Schizosaccharomyces pombe: one gene and its partner. The gene in region 1 interacts genetically with each later gene. Each region holds a gene or a part of one and is shown in the gene's direction. Other genes may lie near its edges.

Region 1 (7,373 bases):
GCTTATGGGCCAGTTGCAGCGATAAGCCTAGAAATTTTCCATAATTGAAACACGCATCATTAATGTATTGTGATGAGTTATTCAATATGCTTGCGCATAAACATGCCTTTGCTGGCATAAAGGCTGATTGCAGAAGGATGGTTCGTTCGTTTGACAAACCAACAGAGCCATTTTGTCGGCTTCCGAAGTGCCCTTCAACTAAGTTTGCAATAACAGAAGCCATAATTTCTGTAATAGCGTTGTTTTCTAAATGTGCTAAATCAACAGACGCCTTTCCGAGTAAATAATCTCCAACCAACGTTGCAAGTTTAATCTGTTCGTTGCTTTGTTCTTCTCCAATATTAATATGAATTATATTGGCAGCATGAATCAATTCTGTTACACGGGCAAGTTGTTTGTACCTTTGAAATAGTTGCTGACTCGGTGGATCCCCATTTACTGATGCTCTAGACATTAGAAGTACAAGAAGCGGATGAAAAAAACGAGTTGAAGATTTTCTGTATGGCTTCGTAATTTCATCTAATAAAGGATTATTATCTGTCCACGTATTAATTTGACCATTTAAAGAATCCATTTCTTCTGTAAGCATTTTTAATAAGTCAGAATGCCAACGGGAATCTCGTGATAAAACCCCTACAGCTTTTAGCAGAATGGAAGACCAGGAACCAGGTTTTTTTAAAGATAATAGAGAGCTTATTGCAGAAGGCCTTTTCAGCAAACTAGCGAACGGAAAGCTCATCCTTCATACAATAAGTGATGATTTCACACTTGAGTAAAAAGATGACAAAGGCCTTGTAGAGGTATAGTAGGGTATCAGTAATTTACAACGCTAATGAAACGAGAGACAAAAAATAGTGGGATGCTTTGATTGCTACTATGTTTTCATTTTTGGAGTTCTTTAACTACGCCTGTGTCTTGTCAGTTTTAGCTAATTATTTCAAAGTCACAGGTTACCTCAGGAAGAGTCAGAATAGTAAGTTCAAGGTAGTAAAAAAACAGAATATACAAGTAGTAAAGGTAGCATTAGTCAAAGTGTGTGTTTCTATTAAATGTTTTACTGAAGTTAATTTGTTATCAACCCGTGAATATATAAGGATTTTTCTATAGATTTTTTTAAGGTAAACACTGTTCAAATGAAGTTTCGAATCAAAGAGTACATTCAACAATAACTACCGATATATGGAGAAAACAATTAGCCAAAAAAACTTAAATATTGTAGGAAATGAAATTGCATTTATTTCTTGCATAACGTAAAGTTGAATCAAGCTGATTTGTTAAACCAACAAGCAAAAGGAGTAGCAGTGAATTTTAAATTCCCCTTGAACGAAGGATTGATCTCACAGCATTCAGCTGAAAGGAACCCCATTCCAAGACATCGTTGCGTAAGTCATTTAAGGCTTTTGCATGTTGAATGCGATGTTGAACAAAGTTATAAGTCGCCTCAAAATTAGGAGAAGTATCACGACTCATAAATAACTCAGATGCAGAGTAAATGGCAGAGATAGCAGCACGTTTCGTGTACCATTGAAAATCGGCTGACTTATCTTGCGCGAGGTAAAGAATCTCATCTGACAGTTCAGCCAGAGAGGATAATGATTTTCGCAAGTTTGAAGGGTATGTACAAATTGCAATCATCTGCGGAAGATGCTGAACAATATCCCTATTTCCTTGCAGACGAGACCAAATAAGCTGGACAACACGTCCAGATGTTTCGGGGATAGTGGTCAAATGAGGCTTTAATGAACTAAGAGCGTAGCGCTGCTTCAGGAAAAAGTACGAAATCAAATCCATTGGACCAGAAGGAAAGAGGGCCTTGGAGAGATTACTATAGCCAAGGGCCTGACCACCTTGCACGATTGCATCTTCCGTGAACCCCAGTTGAGGAACATGTTCAAGAGCATTTTCTAAAATTAAAGCCTTCTTTCCGGATATCTTAGAGGTTTCGTAATTTTCACTATGATAGCCTCTCCTTCCTAGAGCGGAAATGACCGTTTTGGAGATGCATTTATGAAGTCCCAGGTTTTTTGTTGTCAACTGACAAGCACTTCTTAAAGTCAACATGTAAAGAAATAAAAAAAAGAGTCAGAAAAATAAACAAAATAGAAAGAAAGGGTCTTTCACTAAGCAATTCGAAGGAAAGAGATATGGGTAAAGAGGTGTTACGAGTTATTCAAATCAGCGAGTTAGATAAAGTATATAGTAAGATTGGAAGATGACTTCTAAAAATAATTATAATATTTGAAGTATATTAAATTGTGAGAACTGCAAAGTAAACGAACTGATAGAGTGCGTGACGGATGCTACTGTAGAAGGAAAGCGAAATCGCTACTCAATAACTGTGCTACCCACCTGAAAGTACAAAGAGTCGTTCTGACAATAATTTGTGTGACAATAGCAAATAATTTTCAAACAGATAAATTGAAAATAAAAATAGGGTGATATTAAGCTAGACGGTGTGTTTGAGAGGCGGTCTTAATCCTTGCTCGATAAAAACAGAAGATACTTCAAAATACTTGGCTCGTAATGTCGCCTCCACCAGCAGAATCTCATATGTATGTTCCCCGAATGCCAGAAAAGCTTCAAGACACTTATGTACACTATGCAAGGGCTATTCGCTAACTAGATTTTGCTTACAGCATTTTATTAATACAACAAGGAGTATGTCATTAGATTGTAGGATAATTAAAGATTTCACTAACTCCTAATCAGTCGGATCCAAAAACTCGTATATGGAGCGACCATTGCAGCTTGCGTTCTGCTATTGAGTGTATGAATATTATCTTTCGTCCTCCTTGTAGAGGATGCGCTACTTATTGGAAATCATTTGTTAACGTGATATTAGATATAGTCGGTGTTTACCAAACAAATCAAGGTACGTACGATTTTTGTTTTTCTTTTTTGGTTGGAAATTTCAGTGACGATGAACTATGTTTTCCCAAGTCCCGGATTGAAAACTCAGCTTTACCGTATGAAAACTTGCATTAGACTGACGTTTATGTTTAGCAGTCAGCGAAAAGGAATCTATTGATGTCTCAAGGTTTTTCAACTTTTTCGACGAGATCTATGATTGCGTTCCTTTGGTATACGATCGGCATTTTCGTGCATATAGTAAGCAGTTTCTCTCATTTATCAGTTTGATTTTGATACTAATAAATTCTACTATTAGTTCCCCATGAAAAGCAATGGTTGTTACACCATGCTCAAGAATATCTCACAGCTGCTAGACAGATCCCTTAAAAATATCGAACACCATATTATGCTACTCATTGCTATGCTTTAAATTTCAAAATCAAAGAAAAAATAGAACTAAGTTTTTCTAAATTAAAATCTTTATCAATGCACTAGGAATGGCATTTTAGCAGCTGCTTTTCACCTTTGGAATCAGCAACCAATATTCTAAGAGGTTCAAATTCTATTGTATCATGCATTAGCTATATTCTATCTTTAACAATTATTTTTCTATTCTTTTTTTATAAAATTTAATTGTTCTAATAAATGGCATTTGTCTCTTAACTTTTAAACCCAATTGCAAATTTTTTTTTTACTTGTCATGTTTTTTCCTCGTGCAAGACAAAGGACCAATTCCATCCGTTTTGCCAGCCGCTATTGTATTGTTTTGCCCTTTTTTTTAATTTCCAGTGCTGGGAAACTGTAAAACAAACAGCATAGCCACTTCTAAGCCCTCGTTTGAAGTAGTCAAACCGGAAGAAACAAACTTTTGTACTTGCTAGACACTCGATCTTTGCTGACATTTCTTTATATATATATATTTATTTATAGTTTTTTTTTGTATCGCTTTCATCTTCGCCCTCGCTCCTTCCAGTTTTGCTACACATTATAAGGTATATATATCATGTCGGTATACTTGCCGAGCAACGTTCTCGGGTTATAGAAGAATAGCCCTAGTATAGTGGAGCTAAATCACATAATGTTGTGTATTTTGACCCATTTTTGTCACGGAAACCGCTTGGCCAGTTACTTTTTCAATTCGTACCAGGACGAATTAGTCACAATAAAGCGAATGCATATTCATTGTTTCACAAACTAGCAATACAAGATAATTGTCTAGGCATTATAGATTTGCTACCTTGAGTTTTGTGTACTTTGCTTCTCAATTTTACTCTCCAAAGATAAATATCCATTGCTTCTGCAAAGAGTTAGTCAAGTACTTGATGACTGCAAAACAATTAATAACAAGAGCGTGTTTTTATATTTTATACTGTCTGTTTAAGGTTTAATTGAATCCAATAATTCAACTAAGAATAACTTGATCCACATGTTTACCTTTCTTTTTGTTTAATAAATATTATCAGATGTGATTTTCCTGTTTGCTAACTGCAAGCGAAGCTACTTTTTTCATTATATTTCGTTATTAGCGTATAAAGACATTGTAAAGTATTTGCAGCGATATCTAAGGAGGATTGCGAAGGGGCTTAGAACATGATGATTCATGCGAGGCGTCTGCGTCACGCTTCTGGACTTATGCTTAACCCTTCATATATATAGCGATTGTTGCCTGCCGCTTACTTTTCTCCTTAACCAAGCACACATTAACGCCATCGAACCCTAGAACCAGTAAAGTGATCTGAAGAGGGAAAAGCAGCAAAACGATCGTAAATACGTTTGTTTAAGAATTTGCTACTTTTTGTGGTTTTCTGTCTAGTTATTTATTGCGATATCCACATTGCCTTTAGTGCTTGTAATCACACTGTAAGACGTGAGGCTTCGCAATCGACATTGAGTTAAATACATTCTTTTTCTCATTGTTTATTTTTCTTTTTAATCTATCCATATAGCTCATTTTGCCTAACAGTTATCTGATTTGGCTAATTTGCAATTTCTTTTTTAATCCAGTACATACAGATTTGTATCTATCAATTGATTGTTTGAGAAGTTCGGTCTATTTGGTTAGCTTGTTGTACGAATATTTCATTTCCTTTTGTTTCTCTCCTTTCTATACTGTACATTGAAACAAGATGTTAATGAAACAAACCTTCTTGTACTTTTTGCTCACTTGCGTCGTATCCGCTCAGTTTAACGGTTATGTTCCTCCTGAGCAAAATGGTGGTGATATCGTCGTTCCCAAAGATTTTTACGAGAAATTTGGGGAGGATTTCATCCGTGAGCAAGAGGAAAGCTCTGCTCCTCTTATGAATCCCGTTCCCGAGCGTGATGAAGCTGAGGCTCCTCATCACCCCAAGGGTCATCACGAGTTTAATGATGACTTTGAAGATGATACTGCCTTAGAACACCCTGGATTTAAAGACAAGCTTGACTCTTTCCTTCAGCCTGCTCGTGATTTCCTTCACACCGTTTCTGATCGTCTCGACAATATCTTTGACGATGATGAGGATGAACACGTTCGCGAGAAGCGCCCTCATGACTCAGCTGATGAGGATGCTCCCCGCAGAAAGCACGGTAAATGCAAAGGAAAAGGAAAGCACCATAAGGGTAAACATGCTAAGGGAAAGGGAAAGAAGTCTCACCCTAAACCCGAGGATGACTCTGTTTTCTTTGATGACGAGCGTCCCAAGCATCATGAATTTGACGATGAGGATCGAGAGTTCCCTGCTCATCACGAGCCTGGTGAGCACATGCCTCCTCCTCCTATGCACCACAAGCCCGGTGAGCACATGCCTCCTCCTCCTATGCACCACGAACCTGGAGAGCACATGCCTCCTCCTCCTATGCACCACGAACCTGGAGAGCACATGCCTCCTCCTCCTATGCACCACGAACCTGGAGAGCACATGCCTCCTCCTCCTATGCACCACGAACCTGGAGAGCACATGCCTCCTCCTCCTATGCATCACGAGCCTGGAGAGCACATGCCTCCTCCTCCTATGCACCACGAACCTGGAGAGCACATGCCTCCTCCTCCTATGCACCACGAACCTGGAGAGCACATGCCTCCTCCTCCTATGCATCACGAGCCTGGAGAGCACATGCCTCCTCCTCCTATGCATCACGAGCCTGGAGAGCACATGCCTCCTCCTCCTTTCAAACACCATGAGCTTGAGGAGCATGAAGGTCCTGAGCATCATCGTGGACCTGAGGACAAGGAACACCATAAGGGACCCAAGGATAAGGAGCACCATAAGGGACCTAAGGATAAGGAGCACCATAAGGGACCTAAGGATAAGGAGCACCATAAGGGACCTAAGGATAAGGAGCACCACAAGGGACCTAAGGACAAGGAGCACCACAAGGGACCTAAGGACAAGGAGCACCATCAAGGACCTAAGGAGAAGCACAACGAACGTCCTGAGCAAAACATGCAAAGTTCTCATGAGCTTTTGGTCATTGAGGCTTTCGCTGACCTCATCAATTCTGTTCCTGTTGAAGAAATTGCCGAAGAGTTTTCTCGCTTTTTAGACACTCTTGGTATTGAATACTATGGTAACATTCCTGTACATATTCAAGAAAATGCCCCAAAGGATTCATCAATTCCCCCCCTATTTGAATTCGACGATGATTTGGAGTTGAGTGATCTCACTCCTGAACAATTTGCCTACCTTGAAATGCTCAAGGCTGAAGGTATTGATCCTATGACTGCTTTCCGTGACCAGAGTCATCCTGCTAAGCCATCTAATGCTCAACCTGCTGATTCTTCACGTCCCTACGCTGTTTTTTCACAAGAAGAGAATGGTGAACATGTAAATTTAAAGGCTTTCCCTGATCACACTCTTCGCGTTAAAGATTCCAAACCTGAATCACTTGGTATTGACACTGTTAAGCAATACACCGGTTACTTAGATGTCGAAGATGACAGACATCTTTTCTTCTGGTTCTTTGAATCTAGAAATGATCCCGAGAATGATCCCGTCGTGTTGTGGTTGAACGGTGGTCCTGGTTGCTCTTCCCTTACTGGTTTGTTCATGGAATTAGGTCCTTCTTCAATCAACATTGAGACTCTTAAACCCGAATATAACCCTCACAGTTGGAACTCCAATGCTTCAGTTATCTTTTTGGATCAACCTATCAACACGGGTTTCAGCAACGGAGATGACTCGGTTCTTGACACTGTTACGGCTGGTAAGGATGTTTATGCATTCTTGAACCTTTTCTTTGCCAAGTTCCCTCAGTACGCTCATTTGGACTTTCACATTGCTGGTGAATCCTATGCTGGCCATTACATCCCCCAGTTTGCCAAGGAAATTATGGAGCATAACCAAGGTGCTAACTTCTTTGTTGCCAGCGGCTATGAAATGGAGAAGCAATACATCAATTTGAAGAGTGTCTTGATTGGAAATGGTTTGACTGATCCTTTGGTCCAATACTACTTTTACGGAAAAATGGCTTGCGAGAGCCCTTACGGTCCTATTATGTCCCAAGAGGAATGTGATCGCATTACTGGTGCCTATGATACCTGC
Region 2 (10,137 bases), on another chromosome or scaffold:
AAATTCTAGTGATAAAAAAAAGTATGCGCAACTCCTTTAGGGGTAGATTTGATCACGAAATATAAACATTTAAGCGATATTTTGGCCAGTTAGCAAATTTAGACAAACATTTTAATTTAATCAAGATAAAAACACGATGCTGATTTTGAAAGGCGTAAATAATGAAGGTGGCAGAAATTTCCAAAAGGCTAGAATGCAAAAGGAGAAAATTTAAATCAAAAAAATGAAACCAGGTACGTAAATCTAGTAACGATTCAAAACAGCTGTCAACAAACCAATTTATCATGATAACAACACGATGTTTCGAGACTGAAAAAAATTTTAACGCCGCTTATTAAATTTTTTTCCTTATAGCTACCAAAAGTTTCTGGGGTTTTAATGTCAAACATTTTTTTCATCGAGTTACTAGACATGGGATAAACAGTAGCATTAATTCAAAACCTAGAATTTCTTGGCAAATTTAAATAGTGTTTAATGCTCCATATATTGTTTTGAGTTCTGTGACTTAATCATGCTGAATACACGAAAAAAGGCTTGCAGCTTTAAAGTCTTACTACACAGACCAGCTAAGAATGGAGTTTTAAGTTTTTAATAACTGAGAACAAGTAAAGCTTTGTGAAACATGAGTTATTCACAATTGGACGCGTTATTTCCGTAAATTTTAGGATTTGACGATGAAGAGTTTAAAATATTTGTTTAGGCTCTAATGTGTTTGTGATATTAAGGACTTATCAATTGTTGAAATATTATTCATCATTTTTATACGCTATTATGAATTTTAAAATCAGAAGCTGCTTGAGGGTTTTAGAGATGTGTTGTGAAGTGGGAGAAATATTTTCGCGTTGATAAGTGTTAGCCTTAATAAGTTAGCACACACTATTTATGCATACACAAACGTATTCTGTAGAACTTAATCAAAAGTGTGTTTAAACGCATAATTCTTCTTAAAATCTTTCAATAGAGAATTAAAATATAAAAGAAGTTTCTGAAATATGTGATTTAAATTTCAATATTTTTTTAGTAGATGAACTAGCGTACAATTCACGAAGACGTTAGAATACGCTAATTTTTCCAAGTGTGATACTTTATATCTAGGAATAACTGGTACATCCATGCGTAATTTGAGCCTCAATGTTAGTACTGTTTAGATTTCGATCAGCTTTTCATAGTCATTAGCACTTCATTTCTAATATACCTATTACTTTTTATAGAAAGAAAGAAATTGTCTTTATATATCTTGATTGGCCTACCTGTCTACTCATTACCATTTATGTATGGCCCCTATTTTATTTATCAAATAATGAATGATAATGTACAATACACTATCCTGATATAGTGATATGTTACTATATGTTAAAAATATTCGAATTTTACAAATGTAAAGGATTGGAGAAAAGCTTGAAGTTTACTAGAAAAGGAAAATGAAATTTTTTAGAATCAAAATTCCTTAAAACTGTAAATCTAAAAATTATTTAATGATTCAATATCTACTTTACGCTCATATTTCTTAATAATGAGTAAGTCGATTGGGAGTAGCATTAATCATAGACATCGACTCAAAAAATAGAATAGTTGTTGATATTTTATTAAGAGTTCTTAAAACTTGTATCAAAAAATAAAAGAAAGTAATTATAAGTTCTCAATTGATATTGTGGTCAAGTTGAGTCATTACGATGACTTTAAAAAAAAAAATCAACCGAATATAAATTTACACACTATCACGCATTGTTTCCCAATAGCACCGTGTCCTCTGGTTTTTTAATAACGTTGCAGCTATCCGATGTATTTCGCATACTTAGAGAACTCTTCATCAATTCTCAATTTCTTCATGTCCTCCTCCCTTAAACAAATAGCAACTGTAATTCCACCTTCCAAGTCTTTCGGCATAAAGTAAATCAAGCCCTCTATCGGGATAAACTGGGGTCTCCGTACAGCCTCTGGTTTTCCCAATCCTAGGTTAAACTCAAGCTCATAACTATTCAACTTAGCCCATGAACTCAAAGCAATATCGGTATTTGGATCAAGGTTTGAGCAAAAGGAGATTAGATTTTTATTTGGACTACGATGAATTAAAGTCGCAAGTGCACTCGATTCATAAGCCCGTGTTTTTGGATCCAAAGCTGAACGAAGCTTCGATGCAAGGCCACCCAAAGGCTCCTTCATCAACTCTTCAATTACACATCTCTGTGACTTCATGTTAAGCATTAGTCCTGGATACGTTGGTGAAATATTGCAGTACTGCCGTACATCAACAGCACGACAAAGTGTGGATGTGGCTGTAGGGTTCAATCGAGAAATGCAGCAGCGAATAATGGCTTACCAGACGAATGTGGTAAGGGAATCGTCGGTGGATATATATTCTGAGGCAAACGACGAGGGGAGAGTTTTTGTAGCCAGTGTTTTAAGAGCGGTGAGTGAGTTATGGTCGAAGCAAAAGTAACTCCAAATACATTTAGGAGGAGGAGGATGTGATTTATCAACGCTTTCAAGTTCGGAATAAAAAGGAGGTGACTTCAAAATGAAATGATCCATCTCAGAACCTGGTTCGTAAGAGTCTTCGAGTAAAGGGATAAGGTTGTAACGGGGAAGGTTACCATCGCTAGTAAATGGTTCATTGCAACAAGCTTTAGAAAAGAGGTTGATAACCTAACCTTGGCCGGTCATATCCATTGCATTGTGCTGACCGACAAACGTAAGCACGAGACCACCAGTGATGAAACTGGCTTGGACAAGGAAAACTGGATCTGAGCCTAACGTTTGTTCATCAGGATCTCCTGGAATCGTTTTGCGAGGTGCGAAAATACTTTCGTTCAGCATACTGAAAGGAAAATCGGCTTTTCTGAGCGCGTCCATGGAGGGTATAGAAGGGACATGCTGAAGATCTTTGACAAAGAAAGGAGGCGTTTTCTCATACGGTTTAATCTTGAATATATTAAAGCTTTTTCCTTCTGAACTTTCGTGAACAACCTGACCAGCTAGCCACGGAAAACTGGCTGACAGACGCTCAAGTCCATTTGTCAGCGTCTCAATAATTGCTGAATGTGAGGAATCATCATCGACTATTGGAAAACAAAAGGATATCTGGGTATAGATTTTAAGTGATAATTGCTGTGCTAAAACATCCGCGAAATCATAGTTGTTTCATCCATGATATTGGTTGCACTAATATGTAGTGGGCTGATATAGCGTACATGGGTATGGTATGGGTACGACTCTCTGTAGCAGGCTCAATTAAGCAGCTTGCTTAAGAAAAGGAACTGTAGGGTTTCTCAATACATTTTGCCAACTGAAGGACCATGTAGCATTGAGTATTTTTTGTAGGTTACAAGGTAATCGCGGCAATGTGAGTTACGTGTTGAAAGAATTTTGGAGTCGAACTCAAGTCCAGCAGAAATGTCTATTTTTATACATATTGGCTCAACCTCCATCTACACTCATATGTTAAAATGGTTAAACATATAACGCACTCAAGCACATTAGAATCCATCAAAAAAACAATCAAGGGTTACAAGATGAACGTTTATGGCTTAAAAAAAACCATCTCTGCATCTAACTGCATCAAGAATTCTTAACCCAAATAATGTACGTCGAGCTATTAGTAAAAGCCTGTTTTTGTTTATAGTCTTAATGTTTAACTAAAAAAGCTGGGTCTCTAGGGAAAAGTATACTATTAAAATCAGCAAATACGGTATATTTTAGATTTATAGTCATGATTATTCAATAATTCGTTCAATATAAAAGGCATAACAAAGAGTAATAGGCACTGCTAATAATTGTGCATTTTTTGAAATAGTCAGAATCCTCTGGAGAATAAAGTGCTATCTTCTTATCAGATGAAGATAAACTCACTTAGGCCTATCAAGCAAAACGTAACTTTAGTAACAAAAGGAGCTTGAAGATCTTAAAGATAATTTGTATTAAATCATAATTGCTAAATAAATTAATAAAAGGGAATATGTGGTATTGGAGTTTCGCCCGTAATTTTGGCAGTTAAAAAATGGCGACACGGTTAAAACAAGTAGGTAAGGGTGGGTAAGTAGTTTTGAAGATGGAAAGAATATTGAAAGGTTGCAACAGGTTAGGCTGTAATTTAAACAAGTAAAAAATCACTTTTTATTATATTCACAGTTTTTTGACTTTTTTTTTTTATTTTCCAGTCGTTATACAAGGATCGTCGTAAACTAAGATACAACAGGGTAAGTTACTCATCGCTTTCAGGTAAACAAGAACACTGTCTTTTTATGATGATTCATTTTGAATTCGGACACAAAAAGCAGAAACGGGAGACCCAAAGAAATCAAGCTTTTCGTACTACTTCAAACCGGAGGAATTAAGTCTTAAACGGTTCAATAATGCATTTAATATGGGCAGAAGCACATAACGATATCCCACACTAGGAAAGCCCAAAGCAAGGCTAATTAATCCAAGCAACGAACCAAACGTCAAACTAAACATCAACGAGAATAAAAGTACAATTAGGCTAAATTTAAGAAATACACTTTGATGTTTAAACCATTGATAGCCCTCTTTGGATACCTCTTCAATAGACGAGTAGCTATAGCGCGACATAAGACTAGGACGACCATCATTTTCTAGATGTGGAGATTGCCCAATTGGAGATTCATCCTTCAATTCTCTTTTGATATCGATATTCTGTTCAGTCATTTTGTTTTGTGGCAATTTAGTTTAATATTCAATGTGTTCCAAAAGAAAAATAAACGTTAATAAAGGTAACTGTTGTATTATTAGACAATAGTCCTTAGCAATCTATTTAAATGTAACAATTGCTTTAGTAATTTATACTTTTTCTCTTTTAAAGTCAGTGAACCGTTGTTGGGAAAAGTCAAGAATCAAGGTTAGAAACATATACGTATTCATTTTATTTACGCCTTCCCCCACATTGGATATTGCCAACAATGAACAATGACATTAAACTTCTGCAGAGGCGAAAATAATGCTATACATTCATTTTATTTATTAAAATGATTTATGAGCGAATTGCCTTCTTCCAACAGTCAAACTCGAATTCCCCTTCACTAAAACATACGGGAACTGTTTTGCGCAGTGTCCACTATTGGGAAATGGAAAAATCGAATTTGCTAGACGAATATGGATGGAATTCTTGTCTATTCCTTTTTCTATTTTTTGTTTGATTTTTTAAATAAATTAGCTTGTTTATCGAATTTATCTGGATGGGGTTTATCGTTAAAAAAAAACACCCTACCCAAAAAAAAAAAATTTATTTATTTTTATAAGTATTTTTATTCATTAACCTTCTTCTGGCATACGAGTCACAATCAACCTTTTAATTTTGACAATAATATAATAGAAATAAAATAAATTTTCAGTCGTGGTAATTTCTATTACATATTCGTTTAATGTAATGTGTTTTGACATTACTAAAATGGGATGAAAACATCCTTTTACGAGTCTATTTAATCATACAGAAAAAATGGCATTGAAGATGCAATTAATGAATGGAATTCATTTGATAAATGTATTCAATGGAAGGATAATGCTTCCAAAATAAGGATGGTCAAAATTTAACTCAAGATTGTTAAAACAAGGTTGTAATCGGAGTTTTCCGTTTTATTGAAAAACATATCCCCTTATGTCTTATGACTATTTTAATTGAATAACATAATTCAAATGCCTTTTGTTGCCTTCTATGCACATATGTGAACGTAAATCTAGCGCATCATTTTATAATACAGTTAGTAGGCCGAAACATACAAGCATATAACAAAGATAAATCAACTTCTTCGAGGAAGCATATTCCCTTGATCATGCTCAACAGTTTCTAACTTCAATACAAGCTTTTTTTATTCATTTATTTAACTATTTGTTGCTACACATACTAGTTTGTTTATGTATCATATTCATTGTCGGCATGGCAACGTGGATTTATTTACGCGCAGCGCGTACTCATTTAACCAGCACCACGTATATTCATTTTTACAAATACCCAGCTTATATCGTAGTGAGGAGGCGAATTTTGCGAAAGAAAGCATTTCTTTCATTTTAATATTTATTAATTTTTTGTTTATTTTTGTTCTTTTTTGATTCCCCTCTTTTTTTTGTCTTTACTCTTTAATTTCTTTCTATCTTTTTCTCCTAATCATATTAAGCTTCTTATGTTCTATTCAGAGGCCATTCTTTCAAAAAAGGTATGTAGTTTATAAGTTTTCTTTAGCGCGTAAACAGTGCTAATTTGTCTTTGAATCGTCTGACTAACTGTTCGCGTTAGGGTCCTTTGGCCAAGGTATGGTTGGCAGCTCACTGGGAAAAGAAACTTTCCAAAGTGCAAACTTTGCACACCAGTATTGAGCAAAGCGTCCATGCAATTGTCACGGAGGAAACCGCTCCAATGGCCCTTCGCCTATCAGGACAACTAATGTTGGGTGTTGTTCGCATTTATTCCAGAAAGGCTAGGTATTTATTGGAGGATTGTACGGAAGCGTTGATGCGTTTGAAAATGTCCTTTCAACCGGGTCAGGTTGATATGATTGAACCAGCTACTGCTCTCCAATCTTTAAAAGGTAAAGATGCTGTGACACAGAGCGCTAATCTCACTCTTCCTGAGACAATTACAGAGTTTGATCTTTTGGTACCTGATAGTACATTTGATTTTCAATGGTCTCAACTTCTTCGTACACCCTCTCGTTCTTCGAACACTCTTGAACTACATTCTTTACCAATATCTTCCTCTCCTTCTTTTCCATCTTCCCAGCTATCAATTGAGGCTGGACGAAATGCCCAAGTAGAATCAGGGTTTTCCTTGGGCGAATCATTCGCACATGTTGGCAATGATATGCAGTTTCATCTTCCCATTTCAAATTCCGGTGCTGCTACACCTAGAAGTGTGCACTCTGATAATCAGTCCCAAATTTCTATAGAAGTAGGTAGAGATGCTCCTGCTGCTGCTGCCACCGATTTAAGTGGAATTATTGGGCCTCAAATGACTAAGTCGCCGGCTAGTTCAGTCACTCATTTTAGTACGCCAAGCATGCTACCAATAGGAGGAACTTCATTGGATGATGAATTGTTGGCTCCTGTTGATGATTTAAACCTGGATTTGGGCTTAGATGATCTTTTAGGAGATGAACAAGGTGCTAATGCTCCGGCGATAGAGGCTGATGAACAAGCTGAAACATCAAGTATTCATCTCCCTTCTGACATTATGGAAGATGATTCATCTCGTCCTGCAGCAGCAGGAGTAGAGGAAGGTCAGGTTGTTGAAAGCGCCACTGCTCCTCAACAGGAAAAGATCAATCCACAGAAAACTGTACGTCGTCAACGTGCAATTATTGATCCCGTTACTGAATTGTCCTCCAAGCAAATGAAAAAACAATTGGCAGATACATCTTCCATCACCTCACCGTTATGCTTGAATACATCTTCCATCGTGTTTAATGCCACCGTTAATTTTACTCGAAACGGTAAATTTAATACTTCCATATTTTCTTCCAACCTGAACCCTAAAGTAAACGAGCTTTTGCAAGCTGATTTCAAACAGGCAATTCTAAGAAAGAGAAAAAATGAGAGCCCAGAGGAAGTCGAGCCTGCCAAGCACCAACGTACTGATACCTCAACTGAAAACCAAGAAACTGCTGAAGTCTTGGACCCTGAAGAAATTGCAGCCGCTGAGCTTGCCAACATTACTGAAGCCGCTATCGCTACTTTACCACAAGAAACCGTTGTTCAACCAGAAGGAGAAGCTCCTGAGCTTGGTTCGCCAATGGGATTTCCTGTTACTGCCTTGGAATCAGCCGATGATTCACTTTTTGACGCTCCTCCCGTAATGCTGGACGAGGCCGATTTGCTGGGAAGCGAACGATTGGACTCTTCGGTATCTGAGGCCCTTCCTAGTTCACAAACAGCCAAAGATTCTCTACGCAATAAGTGGGATCCTTATACTGAAGGTGAAAAAGTATCCTTCCAAACTCTTAGTGCGGGATGCAATAGAGAGGAAGCTGTTCAACTTTTCTTTGATGTCCTCGTTTTAGCGACGAAGGATGTTATATCTGTCAAGCAGGATGTTGCCATTCAGAACGAAATCACGCTTACTGCTAAACGTGGAATGCTACTTTCATCACTATGAGAGGTCGGTTAATATTTTTTCAAAATCCAATTAGATCTATAAATAAGTGTGAATACTTACACGAAATAGATTTTTATGACAGTAATATTGTTCATTGCTTTCTTTTATCTTTATTTTATTTTTGGAATCACGAGTTGTATGTCTTTCTTTTTCCGAGTTACGATATTACTGTTGGATGTATGTAATATTATCAGCTCAACACAAAGTTATGATTAGAAATAGCTTACGCGCTTTTTAATTTATTCTCAATGATTGATCTATCTCTTAAAAATCTTCCTTTCAATGCGATGATACGGGTTTACTAGGATTGAATATATAAAGACAATATGATCATATTATATTAGGCGTATCTTTTTTGTACCCAATGGTTGAGAATTTGGAAGCGAGGAAGCTACGGTAACTTGCATACCTTTGGAGCGCGCCCAATCTATTGCATCTCTAGAAACAGAATCACAATTAATAATATCTATACGTTTTAATTCTTTCAGTCCTCGTAAAACTGCTATAAATCCCGATCCATCGAGGGATATTGAATTTGAAAAGTTCACATACTTTAGATTTGGACAACAATCAGTAATGTGTATTGCATGCTTATTTTGAAGAGCAACGTTATCAGGAATCTCAAGATGCTCAAGTTCCGGTAAAGATGCAAATATTTCAAAGAAATGGGGGGCCAATGCTAGCGAATCGTGTAGAACCAGCTTTTTTAGTTTGTAACAAGAAGTCAAAAATTTGACAACATTATCGATATCATTTTGAGATAAACGAAGATAAAGAAATAACTCTAAGTTGATTAGTGATTCCATCCGGACATTTGTAGGGAATAAATATGGACATAAAATTGTAGATGCAGGATTGCAGGGTTTCACAATTAACGTGGTAAGAGATTGAGGAAGGAATGCTAGATCTTTAACAGTATTCGATACTCCTTCATCAATGATAATTAACGATCGGAGATTAATTTTATATTTTTTTATTGCAGCAACTAGGTCTGACTGATATGAGGCTTCCAGATATTCTAAATATGGACTGGCAGACAGCAAGTCTTTAAGAAATTGCTGTTCTTTATGGTGAAAGGGAAACTTTTGATTTCGGATAAACGTCAAAGATTTAAGAGCCAGCGGTACAGATTCTGCATTAAAGAGTTTATCCCAATCCATAGAATCAAATATCAAATCGGGAATTAAGTCAACAAGCTCAACCTGCTTGAGTTTCTTACAGCAAGATAAAATCTTAGAAGCTATGGAAAATGTTATAGGAGTAGCACAATAAAAGTAGTGAAGTTCAGAAAATGGCGTCCAAATTGTATACAATTTATCCGTTGACTGAGTGTGGAGAGGTGAAATGGTTTTGTAGACTTTAAGTGATTTGACTGAACGAAGTAAGGCTTTGGTAGGTGTTAATATACCAAGCTTCTCTAAGCCAATTACTTCCTGTATATTGTCTTTTGAATAAACAGAGTATCGAGCAACAGCCATAACGTTTCGATCTCTAGAGTTTACACTTCGAGGAGAGGCGCATGAAAAGTCTAAGCAACAAAATAAGCTAGGTTCTTTCTTAATACAGTCTCTCCAGTGTTTGCAGACTTGCATACACTGAACAATACTTTTGAAATTTAGTTGCTGTAGAATACATAATAGGACTTCTCGGGGAAGAATGCGAAACAAATCTAGTACCGGCCTGGTCCGAAGAATTCTTTCATTCAATCTTTGGCTTACTTTTTTTAATACCGGTCTCAAGGGATCCATTTTATGCACCATTCGCAGGCCTTGCGTATACAATTGATCTGCTTTCTTATCAAAGCCGTCAAGCTGTAAAAGTTTTCCCAAGCGTAGGTAACCTCTAGCATTTCTTGCATTCAAATGAATCATCCGTTTAGCATCAAGTTCTGCTTGTGAGTATTGACCTGACTTTTCGTAAACTTGAGCCCTTAGTTCAAACAAGTCAATCGTAGGATTGGGCTCCTGTTCGATGGTTTTAGTAATGAATGTCAATGCATCTTCAAACTTCCTTTTAGAGAGATATTGCTGGGTCTT

The links.
Region 2: of erh1 (region 1) and rad21, a mutation in one rescues a mutant of the other (synthetic rescue), as found in Schizosaccharomyces pombe (2 studies listed by BioGRID).

Annotation. Positions count from the first base shown.
Region 1 is NC_003424.3:4,062,122-4,069,494, reverse strand, and holds erh1 (protein erh1), read left to right. Parts: upstream 1-2,523; coding exon 2,524-2,552; intron 2,553-2,636; coding exon 2,637-2,658; intron 2,659-2,676; exon of another isoform or gene 2,677-2,709; coding exon 2,710-2,767; exon of another isoform or gene 2,768-2,842; coding exon 2,843-2,872; exon of another isoform or gene 2,873-3,003; coding exon 3,004-3,108; exon of another isoform or gene 3,109-3,166; coding exon 3,167-3,237; downstream 3,238-7,373. Other genes in the region: decaprenyl diphosphate synthase subunit 2 Dlp1, read right to left, coding at 1-739; ubiquinone biosynthesis protein Coq9, read right to left, coding at 1,309-2,061; cpy1 (vacuolar carboxypeptidase Y), read left to right, coding at 4,977-7,373.
Region 2 is NC_003421.2:1,336,958-1,347,094, forward strand, and holds rad21 (mitotic cohesin complex non-SMC subunit Rad21), read left to right. Parts: upstream 1-5,935; 5' UTR 5,936-6,134; coding exon 6,135-6,167; exon of another isoform or gene 6,168-6,247; coding exon 6,248-8,101; 3' UTR 8,102-8,436; downstream 8,437-10,137. Other genes in the region: SPOM_SPCC338.18 (uncharacterized protein), read right to left, coding at 4,312-4,665; F-box protein Pof3, read right to left, coding at 8,437-10,137. UniProt on the Schizosaccharomyces pombe protein: Cleavable component of the cohesin complex, involved in chromosome cohesion during cell cycle. The cohesin complex is required for the cohesion of sister chromatids after DNA replication.